Linked DNA regions of Caenorhabditis elegans. The protein of the gene in region 2 purifies or fractionates together with the protein of the main gene of each other region. This does not show direct contact. Each region holds a gene or a part of one and is shown on either strand. Other genes may lie near its edges.

Region 1 (7,820 bases), on a different chromosome or scaffold from region 2:
CAGAGTATGTTCAGATATTTTTTTTTCCAATTTTTGTTCGTATTTTCCAGAGGAGGATATATCGGAAGCAGTCTCGGAGGCGTCACTGTAATGAAAGGAGAAAATGAGACAGATATCCTTGCATCAGCGAAAGCCTGGTTCATGATCTATCATCTGAAGTTTCACCCAGAAGAAATGAGCTATATTTCGGGAGAATGGGAGCTAGAACTCGGCAGAATGCTCACCCAGTATCCAGAAGATCCATACATCTCTATCACCTACTTCCACTCTCAAACTCTAGCAGATGAGCTTAAGAGAAATGCGGATACACTGATTCCTCGCTTCATAATCTCCATCACCCTTCTCATCGTTTTCTCAACACTTTGCTCGCTGAGCTTCATCGACGGATCGTTCTCAATCGATTGGGTTCTCTCTAAACCGATTCTTTCCATTCTCGGAGTGGTCAGTGCTGGAATCGCTATTCTCACTGGCGTCGGATTCTTGTCATTGATGGGAATGCCATACAATGACATTGTTGGTGTCATGCCATTCCTCGTGCTCGCTGTTGGAGTTGATAATATGTTTTTGATGGTAGCAGCTGTGAGACGAACGTCTAGAACGCATACAGTGCACGAACGAATGGGAGAATGTTTGGCAGATGCTGCAGTTTCGATTCTTATCACGTCTAGCACAGGTAGCCCTAATTGAAATTGAATATTTATTCACAATCTTAATATTTTTTCAGATGTTCTTTCCTTTGGAGTCGGCGCCATCACAACTATTCCAGCCGTTCAAATATTCTGTGTATACACTGGAGTCGCAATTTTCTTTGCATTTATATATCAGGTGCTTATAATACCAAGATTCGATTTTTGTTCCGAAAATACAGTACCCGGTCTCGACACATTTCGTCAAAAAACTCATTTAAACCATTAGAAAATAGCAGAATTAATGAATAAAATCACAAAAATTTGAAAAAAAAATGAAAAAAGTTATCTTTAAAGAAGTGCATGTTTTTGAATTTGAAGACAAAAATTGTCGTGGTGAGACCTGGCACCAAATTCGCAAAATTTCGCGTCCGGGTAATATTTCCACGTGGCGAATTTCTGCTAACACACAAAAATCGTTTTTTTCAGGACCAAAATTTTGCGTCTCAATAATAATCGCTGTTTTCAGATCACATTCTTTGCCGCATGCCTAGCACTGGCTATGAAACACGAAGCATCCGGCCGAAATTCCCTCTTTCTCATCGAAGCTGTATCTGCCGAAAAGAAGACATCCCTGAGCACATTCCAACGATTATTCAATCTCGGAAGTGTGCCCGATCATTCTGCATCACACGATGTCAAACAACCACTGACCTCTCGTTTCTTCGGAGAATGGTATGCTCCAGTTCTGATGCATCCTGTGGTTCGTGGAATTGCAATGGTTTGGTTTGTGATCTATCTGCTCGGCGCCAGCTATGGATGCTCTCGTATCAAGGAAGGATTGGAGCCAGTTAATTTATTGGTTGAGGACTCGTATGCTATTCCACATTATCGACTTTTAGAGAAATATTTTTGGAAATACGGACAACAAGTGCAAATTGTGATAAATAATGCTCCCGATCTTAGAAATCATACATCTCGTGATCGAGTTCATGCAATGGTGCTTGACTTTGCGACAAGTAAGCATGCGATTGGAATGGAATCTGTGCAGTTTTGGTTATTCGAAATGGAGAGATATTATCAAAAAGAGTTGGAAGTTCAAATTATTGATTCCTCATTTTATGGCCTTCTTCACCATTTCCTAGCTTCCAAAACCAATAATCCATTGGCAGAGGATATCTACTGGGGACCAATGCCTGATGATGATAATGGAACGATGGTCAAAAGCTTCCGGTTTATTCTAGGAATGAAGGATTTAGTGACAACAATGGACCAAACCGACGCTACAATGTCATTTAGAGAGGTCGCTGCTCGATGGCCGGAGTTCAATGTGACCACTTTTATGCCAATATGGATGTTCACTGATCAGTACATTATAATTATTCCGAACACTGTTCAAAACATTATTATTGCACTTTTGGTGATGATCGTCATTGCCGTTCTCTTCATTCCACAGCCAATGTGCTCACTTTGGGTGGCTCTCGCTTGTGCTTCCATCGATTTTGGAGTGATTGGATACATGACGCTATGGGGAGTGAATCTGGATGCTATATCAATGATCACAATTATCATGTCAATTGGGTTCTCCGTCGATTATTCTGCACACATTGCATATGGCTATGTCGTATCCAGAGAAGATACAGCAGCTGGTAGAGTGAAAGAAGCACTATCAGCTCTTGGATGGCCACTGTCTCAGGGAGCTATGTCTACAATTATCGCGGTTTCAGTTCTTGCCGATATTCCAGCATATATGATAGTTACTTTTTTCAAAACGGTAATTCTTTTCAATTTTTTTATTCTTTAACTTTTCTATTTTCAGGTCGTTCTCTCAATTTCTCTCGGTCTTCTCCATGGTCTTGTTTTCCTTCCAGTATTGCTCTCAATATTCGTACGTGGATGTTGCATAATCCCTAGCTCACCGCATGGTCATCCCAGCGCTCAAAAAATCGAAAAGGTTTGATCTGAAATTATCACTACATTCTCATTTTCCCATATTTCAGCAAATCAGGATCGCCGCTATCTCGTCTAGTCCACTCGATTTGCGAACCGTTGCTCCGCTCCGCGCCTCGTCACCAATCAGCTTCCCGCATAGGCTTGAGTACACCGATGAATCTCCAACTGTACACAACAGATCAAAGAATTCTATTAAATCCGAGCACCTAGACTAGTCTTTCTTCCAATGACTCTCATTAACTAATTGAATACGTGTATTTGTAGAATATTGTGAATGTTCTACGTTGTTTTTAAATATATGTGAATGAATATCTTAATTGAAATTTTAAATATTATTAACTCTCGAAACATTATCAGTGAGTCTAGAATGGGAAGGAGACATTTTTAGAACAAATCGGTCAAAAATAAGAAAACGGATAATTGGATATTTAAGCCAACAGCCACCTATTTCTCAGTGCTACAAATTTTTACCAAAAGCTGAGGATTAATATGCGTTTCTTGAAATTAAACTTTAATATTTTTCAAGTAGCGAATAAAATCACAATGAAAACCTAAACTAATAGTAAGCGACAGAATTTTTAAGATTTACAATCGGAAACTCAAAATCAACTTTCCCGTTCTGATGTTTCACTTTTGACCATAAGTTTTCAAATAAAAACTTAAACTAGACGTATTGTATTTTAGAATATTATTTGCATTTCGTTTGTTCGTTGGTAAGTCACTGTTAACTTTCATAACAAGTTTATGAACAGAGAAAATCAACAATTTACTTATTCTCCTCAGCGGCCTCTCTGGCTCTCTTCTCACGCTTTCCACGGTATTTCTTGTCAGCACGCTCCTTGCGGAGAAGTCTGAAGATCTCGACCTTGCGTTCGGCGTCGGTAACTTGGCGTGGCTCGTCGAAGGTGATGGTGTGGGAAAGTGGAAGGACATCTCCGCGAAGTTGGGCGGCAACCTTGAGCTCCTCAGCCTTAAAAATCAATATTCATATTATGCAGGAATTATTTAACAAACTGTTATCGACTAAGTTCAAAAATACTTTCAAACTTAATTAAATGCAAAAAAAAACTTACAGAGCTGTCTCCCTTCTTTGGTGCGCTAGCCTTCTTCGGGAAGAGGATAAGCTTGGCTTTGTACTCCTTGAGACGATCGGCGTTGGCCTAAAATATTGTATACATTTAATTTTCATGCAAAATAATTTATTACATACCTTAAGTCCCTCGGCGGTCTTGTTGGTTCTTCTCACATCAACGGCGATTCCGATGGTGCGGGCCTGAGCCTGGGAGATTCCGGCGGCCTTGAGCTCTTGAAGAGAGAAACCACGTCCAAGACGAGTCTTGGTGTTGTATCTCTTCTGTGGGCAACGGACGACAGATCTGAAATGAAACTATATTTAATGAAAAGACTAATTCTATCTAACCTGAGAAGTCCAGCAACTGGGCGAGGAGCGATTTCGACAGCCTTAGCTTGACGGTTCTGTCTTCTGCGGAGTTTGCGAGCTGGCTGGTCGAACCAGGTCTTTATGCGCTTGTGCCAGTGCTTGCGGAAATGGGCATTGCCCAACATTTGGTTTCCACGTGGAGCCATTGTACCCTGAAAAAAAGAAGTAAAATTGCGATTTTAGTTCAAACTAATGAAAATTGCGATAGAAATACAGAAAATAACTCAATAACAACGCAAAATTGCGAAAAAAAGCTTAAATAGATATTTTTAAAACAATTTCCGGGAGAAAATTTAAAAAATCAGCATATTGAATCAAAAAAGAAAAGAAAAAATTCAGAAAAATTCTATGGGTTTCTTCTTCACAGTGTTACAACGTTGAATACTCAGCCAACGAATTGGCTGCGGCAGCCAAGCGCTGCGAGACCTGCCTGTGTACTTGTGTCGATTTACGCAGGAACAAAATGTGTGCCTAATTTGTTTCGCAGTCTATAAAATTGAATATTTCCATTTAAAATAGTTAAATCAATAAGAAAGTGGTATTTTCAGTGAACTTAACTTTTCTGAAAATAATTTTTAATATGGTACATAACTTCAAACTACTTTATCATCTCTAAAAACTAGAAAGTGGAATTAATTTAATTCAAAAAATTACTGAAATTATTTGCTTTTGAATTTTAGATTAAAAAAAGTTAAATAAATAAATTTATTAATACAAAGATATTACTGGGAATTATACATTCGAGAATATAGACAAAACGAAAAGAAAAAGAAGTGCATTTATTTGGTCCATAGAGAGATCTTTGATTACTTTCCATGTGTTTTATCGTAGGAATCTTTATTCTTGTAAGCTCCAACATATCCAGTATTTTCTGTTGTATCCGCACGTCCTGATTTTCCTTTTCCTGAAATTACATATTTCTTTCGTGAATTCATTTTCTACAAATACCTTTTCCTTCGGCATCGAATCTTTCTTTATGGGCTCCAGTATACTTTGTGTGATCGGTGAGACGGCTGTAAACGCCGGCCGCATTGGCCTTCGCCGCACCTCCAACACTCGGCGCTTCCAATTTGGCCAATTTCTCTGTGATTGCGTCCAGTTCGTCCTGAATCGGCTTCTTACTTTGTCTCGCGCGATCCTCGGCGACAAATGCCAGCACTTTCTTCGTTTCGTCGAAAGTGGCCTTCTTTTTAGGTCTATAATAAATTTTTTAGTTAATTCGATGCAGACAGTAAAGTTCAACCCACCCAGTAACTTTGCTGAAAGCGATTCCGGTCATTGTCCCGGTGATGGCTTTGTTGTCGAGGACACCAGCATCCTTAAGCCACTTGTCGAAGTTCTTTCCAGTCATTTCGGTGGCGGTAGCAGCTCCGAATTTGGTGAACGCGTCCCATCTAGAAAATTAAAAGGTTTTGATGCGAAATTCTAACTCGAAACTGTGTGAAAAACAATGTTTTGTTAATTTTTTTCTGGTTACCAAAATTGAAATCGGTAAACTACTGGACTTCTTGCAAAGTTTATAATTTAAAATCCAAATAATTTACCTTTTCTTCACATCAGCATCATCCCAGTTGAATCCAGCAGCAGCGGCCATGATTTTCTGAAAAATAAAAGGTGTTTGTATAGTGAAAATAGGAATAACGACCGGAAAAGAATGAGCACTCGATGGCAACCATGGAAACATGGAAATATTCAAAGAGAGTTGAGAAAACTGCGTGAGAGGAGAGCATAAATCAAAAATAGGTGGAGCTCTATCGAGCATAAGAGAATTAAGAGAATCACGTGGCGGCAATATCTGCACTCGATTTCTGACTTTGTTTAGCAATTTGAGGAAGAAGAAGTATAAAAGCCCATGTGTCGGAAGGAATTGGCAGAAGCTGAGTGTGGAGTAGAAAGAGCACAATGGGGCGAGAGCCAAGATTATTATCTATTCATTCTTCGCGCAACGCCAACGTTGTTCCCTAATTGCGCCGTCCGTCAGTTGAAAAGCATAACGAGCCAAAGAGATTCGGACGGTGATTAGTGAAGTTTTGAACTAGCAGGAAACGGGTGAGAAAGTGAAGAGAGATAGGGCAAACGGCGTTCTTTAATGAAATGAGAAAAAAACTTCTCTCTTCCTCTTTTCAATCGCGTATTTCGACCTCTCTTACACCGGATAAATCATCAGTAGGACATGCTCTTTGTGGCTGAGAAATACATAAAAAGAAAAGAGTATTGCGAAATTCTCGAAATATAACTTTTCACGGAAACTCTCACTGCGCAAATTGCGAAATTGAGTGGCGCCGATGGGAATTCATGAATGCAATATGAACTGTTTTGTTTTGAAAACTTTTTTCAAAACATTTGAGAACTGAAGTAAACGGAAAAAGGACAGAAATGGGTGGAGCTTTCACTAATTGTTTGGGTGCGGAATCTGTTATTGATGGCGTTCTTTATTAGGCAATTAACGCAGTTTCCAATATTCCATTCTTTGAGAATGATAAATTATTAGTTGAAAGGAAATGTATAAAAAAGAGAAAGCTATAGCTTTTAGGTTTAGGTCTTACTGAGAAGAGAGAATTAAACTATTTTGTTTCCCATACATAAAACGGGCTGGATGAAAAATTCAAATCTCAAAAGAGGCGCCTTGTCCCTCCATCTTTTTCTTGTTTCTCTCGTCACCTGCCACTCCTCCTATGTGTGCATGAGAGTGCGCAGGAAGATAGTAAAACAAGACAACAAACATCGGAGGGAGTGGGGGGTAAAATTTGAAAATGAAATAAAATAACAGAGAGGTAGGAGTATGAGACGAGTTGGTGATGCAGCAAGAGGCATACGGACAGAATTCGCTGGGTTTACTGACTGGAGAGAGAGACGAAATGGGAACTAGATTAGCGACGGTCACGCCTGCGTCTCCACGATCTCTATCCATAATTGACAGCCTCCCTGTTTTGGACGTCTTCTTTCTCGCGCAGAAGCAGCAGTCAACTCGAAACTTGATATCTACATTGTGTGTGTGCTTTTGGAAGAAATAGGGGATTTGAACTCTGCTGTACAACTAAGGATCTACACATGTACGGAATACGTTAATGAACTCGTTTTGGGCAACGGAAAAACGTAGAGTTTGAATATTTTTCTGATTCAAACTAAATTTAATAAATATTTGTGTATACTTTTTTTTAATAAATGAGAAAGAATGATGGCGTCCAAAAACTTGGGGATTTTTCGTGGAAACGTCATGAGGATCCCTATGTTTTCAGTTTAAAAGAGTGTTGCTTCTGAAAAAAAATCTCTAAAAATTCTTGGAAAAACTCTGAAAAAATCCTAGAAAAAATCTGAAAATCCTAGAAGTGCGAAAAAACTAAGAAAATTAAGAAAACACATTCAATTTCGCAAGTTTTTATCGTTTCAGAATAATTAACAGTAAAAAACTTGAAAATTGTGAAATTAAAGCGATTTTTATGGAGAAAATAGCGTTTTGGCCAAAATTTTGGATGAAAAAATGTCAAAAACAAAAACATTATCCTACTGTACGCATTCAAGACGCACATCGTTTCAAACGCGGGTTTCACAGCGCTCGCCAGATTACTGTAGAAATTTTAACCATCAAGCCTAGATTTTCTTACGGCAACACGAGTTTGAAGAAAAAAAGTTGAAAAAAGTCAATATTTCTCCCAAACAAAAAACCGAGTAAGAAGGGTGTGTCAACATGTGAAAATTTGATAAGCGAGAAAAGCACGGCGAACTGATGAACACAGAAAATTCGAAGCCTCTACGACGACCGAGAAAACAAGAAAAAACGTAGTATAACGGAGATGACG
Region 2 (7,530 bases):
AATTCAAAAAATAAATTTTCTGTTTTTCTAAAATTGTGGGTTTTGATATTTGCAGTCACTGATTATGGAATGTTATGAAGAGGGAAATTTCAAAAACTAAGGAAGAAGACGGCATTTTCATAACATTTACCATTTACCAATCATAACATTACCTTTATTTTTTAAAGGTTTTATCCCAACATTAAAAATGTGTACAATAATTATCAAATTTTCAGTTTAAAAGATAAAGGAAAGATGAGGACTAAAAATTCCAGTCAATCAAGGCTTCTTCAATTTTCTACTTCTACGTGAAAACTCTCGCCTGAAAAAGTAAGTTTAAAGCTCACAAGTAATATAAAATTACTCTTCCGTTTGAAATTAACCTGCATGATTTATTCCAATTAAAATGAAAAATCAATTTCAAAACAAACTGTCATTAGAGCCCCTCTTGCAGCTGATAAATTTATTGGATCATCAATCAATAATCCACCAAAATATCTCGATAGAATAGTAAGTGTTGTATATGTTCCAAAAAAGATAACATGAACAAATATTACAGAAATTGCAAATTTCGTTGATAAGTATACTTCCTCCAATTGATATCTTGCGGCCAGTGTCGAATTTGTTCTTAAAAAAACTGAAATTAAAAATAATATGTTGTATATTTCCAGATGATTGCCACGTATAACTTTATTATTGGAGTAGTTGCTGTCTATTTGTACAAACGAATTCGAACTAAAAAATCTGTTGAAATTATTGGAAAAATTGAAATGCAAGCGACTGGGAATGCGGGAGCCCAAAACTACGATAATGTCATTTTCAGTATTTGGAATTCAGCTTCTAGTTTAACATCAAGGCCTACTCCAATTGTTTAATTAATTCAATTATTAACAAATAAACAATAACTTCTTTACATTCTTCCGAATACGACAATACGGCTGAATACGGCACCGGTCTCACTAGAAGCAAAATATTTTTGAAAAATAGGCTCTGCAATCACGTGGTGTCAGAATGTCCTATTTCGTTGTGATCTACAAAAATGCGGGAATTTATGCGCAGGCTTCTCAACTGATTTCGCATAGTTAAGAACGTGCTGACATCACATTTTTTGGGGAAAAAATTCTCGCATTTTTTGTAGATCAAACCGTTGTGGTACAACCTGACACCACGTGTGCAAAACGGTATGCACCTTTAAGAAGTACAGTAATCATCGTTAATTGTGTACTTATGTAGGCTTTCAGATAATATTGTCGTTTTTTTATGTGTTTCAGTGTTTCACGAAAAACAATTTATAAAGATATCGTCAGTAGGAGAATTACTAAATAAAAAACCACCATGGAGCACCAACGGGATAGATTTTTTCACATTTTCGTTTTAAGAAATTGAATTTCGAACAATAAAAAGTTAATCTATCAATTCTAGTCATTCATTTCAACTTTCGGAGAATAAAACTAAAATTTCTGAGATTTATTATGATTGTATTTGTACGAATATATAAGAAGGTTGGAGCTTCAAGTTTCATGTTGATACGATTTCATAAATGAATGAATCTTCTACAAATATTCCACTGGCATGTATTACGGTTGTCTATTATTAATGGAATTTATGATAAATATTTGAATTTTCAGGCGTATGAGCTGTCGTTTCATCCAGTTTATAGAAATTTTCAAATATATCAGTTGATTATGCTTTTTTCTTCCTTATTTCCGTTAACTTACTTTATTTTATTCCAGCTTCTGAAATCCAGTTTTCATGGAAATCTCAAGGTATTTGAATTTATCTTCAATTATTTAAAATTTTCATTTTCTGAGTCTTCTTGTTGGTTATTTTGGAGCAATTCTCGTGTTCAGTGTGGTATTCCTTGTTGAAGCTGTAGGTTCCTATCAATTGACTTTAATTCCTTCTATCGTTTATAGTTTATCCAAGTGTTACTTCCATTCATATCAGAGCAAAAGTGCGACTTATTAATCCAACCTAAATACTACAAGCTTGGCAACCTTTTGGGATGTCTTCTTATGACAATTCCTACATTTTTCCCAATTTCAATAACTTTTGAACGACTAATTGCTACAAAAATGGCTGATGATTACGAAAAAACTCGTGTATTTTTGGGACCTATTCTTGCCATCTTTTTGGTACTACTAGATTTATTTCTCATTTTACTCATCTACAAGGAAGCAATTGTCACAGGAGGTTCAATATCGTTTGTATTCATTCCGGCATCAATAGCTTCAAAAGTTGCAAAAATTGAAAAATTGTGAAAAAAATTTTTTTTCAGATGTACATGTTTTTTATTATGATGCTGATTTTAAATTCGTTCAATTTTTTCTTCAGCTTCTTGTTGCTTCGAAGAAACGCACAATTGAAAAAGTTGAAATTTTTTTTTTTTCATAACATTTAGAATTTTTTTTTTTTCATAACATTTAGAAGTCCAATTCAACACTAGCTGCAAAATTCCAATTGGAAGAAGTTTATTCTTCGACTAAATTTTCCATTTCGGTTATATTCGTGCATGTAACATTTTTTGGGAGTTACACGACTATCACTATTTTGTTAAGATATTTCGGAAGTTATTTTTTCAGTGATCCAATAGATTTAGGGGCAGTCCGCGGAGCTTTCATGACGGTATTTCATTTAATTACAGCTTATAGAAGTTCAACTTGTTCCAGATGATTTCATCGTACAATTTTGCAGTTGGAGTAGCATCAGTATACTTTAACTACATATATCGAATAAAGAAAATTATCGAGATCAAAGGAAATATCAGAATAGTGGCAACTGGCCAGGCAGGTGCTATTAACTACGACAAGGCTATCTTCAATATTTGGAATTCTACTTCTTCAACAAATAATACCAGTTATTGATAAATTCTCGAAGCAAGCATTTTAAACGTAGCTGAGCCTTCGATCTGAACAAACTCCCAGCCAGAGCATACTTAACTATATTATCGACTAAACGTTTTTCGGTCTACGCCATTTTCAGTGTGTAACGCAAATAAATTCTTTTGAACAATGTATTCTTTCGAATAACAAGTAACAACTTAGAGACGACGTCCACGGCGACCTCCCTTTCTTCTGGTGCAGTCGGATGGGATTGGGGTAACGTCTTCGATTCTTCCAATCTTCATTCCAGCGCGAGCGAGGGCACGAAGAGCAGACTGAGCTCCTGGTCCTGGGGTCTTGGTTCTGGTTCCTCCAGTAGCACGAAGCTTGATGTGAAGAGCGTTGATTCCGAGCTGAAAACATTAACTTATTGCAGTAGCATTGATAAAAATTTAACTCACTTGTTTGCAACGATCAGCGACGTCTTGAGCGGCGAGCATAGCAGCGTATGGCGATGACTCGTCACGATCGGCCTTGACCTTCATTCCTCCGGTAACTCGAACGATGGTTTCACGTCCTAAAATTATTTGATAATTTTTGTTTCAAAATTATAATTTTACCTGAGATATCGGTGATGTGGACGAAAGTGTCGTTGAACGAAGCAAAGATGTGAGCGACTCCGAAGATGAGCTCTCCTTCTTTGGCCTGTGGTCCAAGGGACACGACAGCCTGTTCCTCCTTAGCCTTTCCCTTACGAGCGGGAGCCATTATCCAAGACTAAAATTGAATTCCTTGATTAAATATTTTACTAACTATGGCAATGAGGACAACGGAGAAAAAAAAATTTATGATAAGCCGAGTAAAAATTATATATAATTAATAAAATACGTCTTGTAAAATTTATTCTCATTGATTTTTAAAGAAATTCTCAACATTTCACCATAAAAACGTTTTAAAAATCGAAAAAGAAAATCGAAAAATACGATTTACACAGAAAATGTTTTGGCTGCGTATCATTTCCATGGAAAAAGTCGCTACGCAGCCAATGGTCTCACCACGATTTTCCATTTTCTCTTGTTTCGCCCCGCCGACGATAATAGGATGCTGGTTTTTTCGATTTTTTCACGATTTTTACAGGAATTTCTTGTTAAAATTTCGTCTAAAAACACCAAATTAAATTGGTTAAACTATTTTACACTGAAAAATCACACTATATGGGTGTTTTCACGTCTCACATATTGATTTTTGAGAGATCTTCTTTCAAGGCCAAATTGGGCATCAATTCGATAAATTTCCAAAGTTTTTTACCTATATATGCGGCAAATTTGTGATTTTTTATTTAATTTGTACCAATAGGATATATGTTCGCTAGTTTATTTCTCGTAACTTAATCGCAACTCTAATCGTATTCCTAAACTAATTATTTTGTATAATTTCAGGATGAGCGGACCAGGAATTGAAGGTTTGGCCGTCGGTCTCAACAAGGGACATGCTGCTACCCAACTTCCAGTTAAGCAGCGTCAAAACAGACACAAGGGAGTCGCCTCCAAGAAGACCAAGGTTTGTTATTATCCAATTTTTCGGATTAAAATATTTATTAAAGTTTTTAGATCGTCCGAGAGCTCGTTCGTGAGATCACCGGATTCGCTCCATACGAGCGTCGCGTTCTGGAAATGCTTCGTATCTCCAAGGACAAGCGCGCCCTCAAGTTCTTGAAGAGACGCATCGGAACCCACCGTCGTGCTAAGGGAAAGAGAGAGGAACTCCAAAACGTCATCATCGCTCAACGCAAAGCCCACAAATAATTTTGTTGCTGTTGATAAATTGTTGTTATCCAAAATCTCGTTTTTTCTTGTTCTGACTTTGAAAGAATGCGTGGATTCGCCTCAATTACTTGAGGATAGATAGTTATGGATTATGAAAGAACCTCATTCTTTTAGAAGGGTTAAAATGTTTGGTCGTCAAGTTGGACGCGTCGTTTTCAGAACTGCCTCGGTGGTAGTTCAACGGAGATCTGTGTCAGCTTCGGTGCCGCAAATGGTCAAGCTCGTGGCTCCATCTGTAAATTTCATTCAAACTAGGTAACATTCTTCAGGAAATTTTGTGGTGCTAAAAATCAAGGCAAATGCTTATTTGTAGAAGAAGGTTTTTTGAGGAAAATAAGTGAAAAAGAGAACTACCTTTTAAATCAAACTGAGTAACGATAAAACAATTTCCACATTAAAGTTTTGATTTTTGGAGTTCAGACATACTCTTTAGAAAAAAAGGTCGGTATTTTCAGGGGAAGCAAAATTGAAGTCTTCGGACCATTCGACCCCCCAAAGCAACTCACATTCAAACAGGTAGCTGAAACAAACGGAAGACTTTTTCAGGCCGTATATTTTCAGGTTGAAGATCGTGTTTTGAAAGCAGTTCGCTCATGGGATCGTTTCCCAGCAGACAAGGAGTCACTTTTGAAGCTTGATGCTGATTTGAGCAAAGATTTTGGATTTGATTCTCTGGATCAGGTAATTTCAATTTCAAAATGACATTAAAACATCTGCTTTACCGGCATATGGAAAGTGACATTTTCAGCTCGGTCCGAAATGGAGAATTATTCCGTACCAGAAATATAGATTTATTTGTGCTTTTTGAAGTCAACTTGGCTTTAAATTAAAATTTTTGAAAAGTGGAAAATAAAGTTATCATCAGAATGTACAAATATTTCTATTTTAGTTTCTGAAAAAAATATCGACGATGAGAAAATGGGTATTGTAAAATGTGTCGCACATCTCCTCCTCACGTTAAATTTAAATTACAAAGTAAATTTTTTTTTTTTTAATTGAAAATTGTTTTGTTTCAGGTCGAAATTGTGATGGCACTGGAAGACGAATTCGGATTCGAGATCCCACTTCAGGATTCCGATAAGTTCAAGACCATTCGCGATGCATTCAAGTACATTTGCGAGCGTGAGGATGTATACGAGTAGATAAATGACAGGATTCAACAATTTTTTTTTGTATTTTTGTGTGTAACTAAACATTTCAATTTTATCCATTTTTGTCCCATTTGTCGTCATTTCACAAACCCTTTACTAGGAGAATTTTACGCCGATAAATTAGTTGATTTCTTTCATAATGCTCATCTATTTCCTGAGGAAATTTCCTCAGGACACCCCATGACTGGTAGCAAATTCGCTCCAATGTATTGCGTTCTGCTGCGTCTACACAAAGTGGACGCTCGATAGGAATTGCGTTGTGCAGATGATCAGGTCAATGAAAAATCATGTGTTTCTTTTTTTGTAACCAGCATTACAACGAATTTCGTTAAAAAATATTCTCTTCGTTTCTTAGATTCTATAAGTCATTATTTTCAGAATTTCTCCATTTTTCCGGTGCAATTTCTAGGTTAGTAAAAACAATTGCAGCGTAGAAATATAGTTTTTAATTCAGATATTCACCAATCAATAATCAAGTCACACATACCAAGAAGTTAGTTTAAACAAGAGTCCAAAAATGGTCAAATTTCAAATAATAGCTCGAGATTTTTACCATGGATTTATTGATTCATTTAAAGGAATCACTGTGAGTATTTAAAACTTTAAAAAGTTTTTATTTATGGGATTATTCAAGTAATGTAGCGAAATGTATTTAAATACATGTTTTTTATGTATTTTAATACAGTTGTGACGTAATTTTTCTACACTTTTTAATTTTCCGACACTACTTGAATAACCCCATTAGTAACGAATAGTTTAAATATTCTTGATTTCAGTTTGTTCGGCGTATTCGTGAAGAAGAAGCGAAAGAAGTAAAAGTAGAACCACCGAAGCCAGTTGAACGAACAGTTTTAATGATGAGACGAGAAAAACAAGGAATTTTCAAAAGACCTCCTGAACCACCGAAGAAGAAAGATAGCTTTTTGAAAAAGTATTTTATACTTACATGTTAAAAACTGAATAAATTTTATTTCAGACTCTGGCAAATCTATGCTATGAATATCGGTTTCTTGGTTCTGTGGCAGGTCTGTATATTGATTCTTGGTCTATTCTTCAGCTTTTTCGATCGAACTGATTTGGGTCACAATATCGGCTACATTCTGATTATTCCCATCTTTTTTGCTTCTCGAATCATTCAGGCACTTTGGTTCTCAGATATTTCAGGAGCCTGTATGAGAGCTCTAAAATTGCCACCACCACCTGTCGTTCCTTTTAGGTTAGTTTATTTAATAATTATTTCAAAAAAATAAAACTAAAAAATTTCAGTTCTATGTTAGCGGGAACTCTCATTTCTGCGCTCCATCAAATTTTTTTCCTCATTCAAGGAATGCTTTCGCAATATCTTCCAATTCCTCTTATCACACCAGTTATCGTTTATCTTCATATGGCTCTACTTAACTCAATGTACTGGTAAGTTTTAAACATTTTTTTTACTAAAAATAAATCAAAGTTTCGATAAATTAAATTTTTGCCAATCAGTCAATTTAATGCTTTCTCAGCACCTCTCCAATGGAATGTATCAAAAATTGAAAATAGAAAAACAACAGAACCACCAATATCGCCAAAATTTCTAAAATAAGAATGGTAAAAAAGATTTAGCTGAAACTTTGAAAATCAAATAATATTAATAATATTTCAGTTTCGATTACTTCTTCGACGGTTACAACCTTTCATTCCTTCGACGCAAAGATATTTTCGAATCACACTGGCCGTACTTCCTTGGTTTTGGAACTCCCCTGGCACTTGCTTGCT

The links. The genes of interacting proteins can lie anywhere in the genome.
Region 1: the proteins of rpl-36 (region 2) and rpl-13 purify together in Caenorhabditis elegans (affinity purification with mass spectrometry; 2 studies listed by BioGRID, with this or other methods). This does not show direct contact.

What each region holds. Positions count from the first base shown.
Region 1 is NC_003279.8:3,784,388-3,792,207, reverse strand, and holds rpl-13 (Large ribosomal subunit protein eL13), read right to left. Parts: upstream 4,173-7,820; 5' UTR 4,167-4,172; coding exon 4,000-4,166; intron 3,956-3,999; coding exon 3,790-3,955; intron 3,740-3,789; coding exon 3,653-3,739; intron 3,550-3,652; coding exon 3,346-3,549; 3' UTR 3,312-3,345; downstream 1-3,311. Other genes in the region: ptr-2 (SSD domain-containing protein), read left to right, coding at 1-4, 51-673, 725-825, 1,156-2,400, 2,446-2,580, 2,627-2,794; tppp-1 (Tubulin polymerization-promoting protein homolog), read right to left, coding at 4,827-4,924, 4,969-5,216, 5,268-5,414, 5,565-5,614. UniProt on the Caenorhabditis elegans protein: Component of the ribosome, a large ribonucleoprotein complex responsible for the synthesis of proteins in the cell.
Region 2 is NC_003281.10:7,176,011-7,183,540, forward strand, and holds rpl-36 (Large ribosomal subunit protein eL36), read left to right. Parts: upstream 1-4,240; 5' UTR 4,241-4,241; coding exon 4,242-4,361; intron 4,362-4,411; coding exon 4,412-4,606; 3' UTR 4,607-4,637; downstream 4,638-7,530. Other genes in the region: rps-14 (Small ribosomal subunit protein uS11), read right to left, coding at 3,020-3,214, 3,263-3,378, 3,422-3,569; ndab-2 (Acyl carrier protein), read left to right, coding at 4,752-4,882, 5,083-5,143, 5,189-5,308, 5,644-5,769; epg-4 (Ectopic P granules protein 4), read left to right, coding at 6,296-6,364, 6,555-6,709, 6,755-6,994, 7,045-7,188, 7,418-7,530.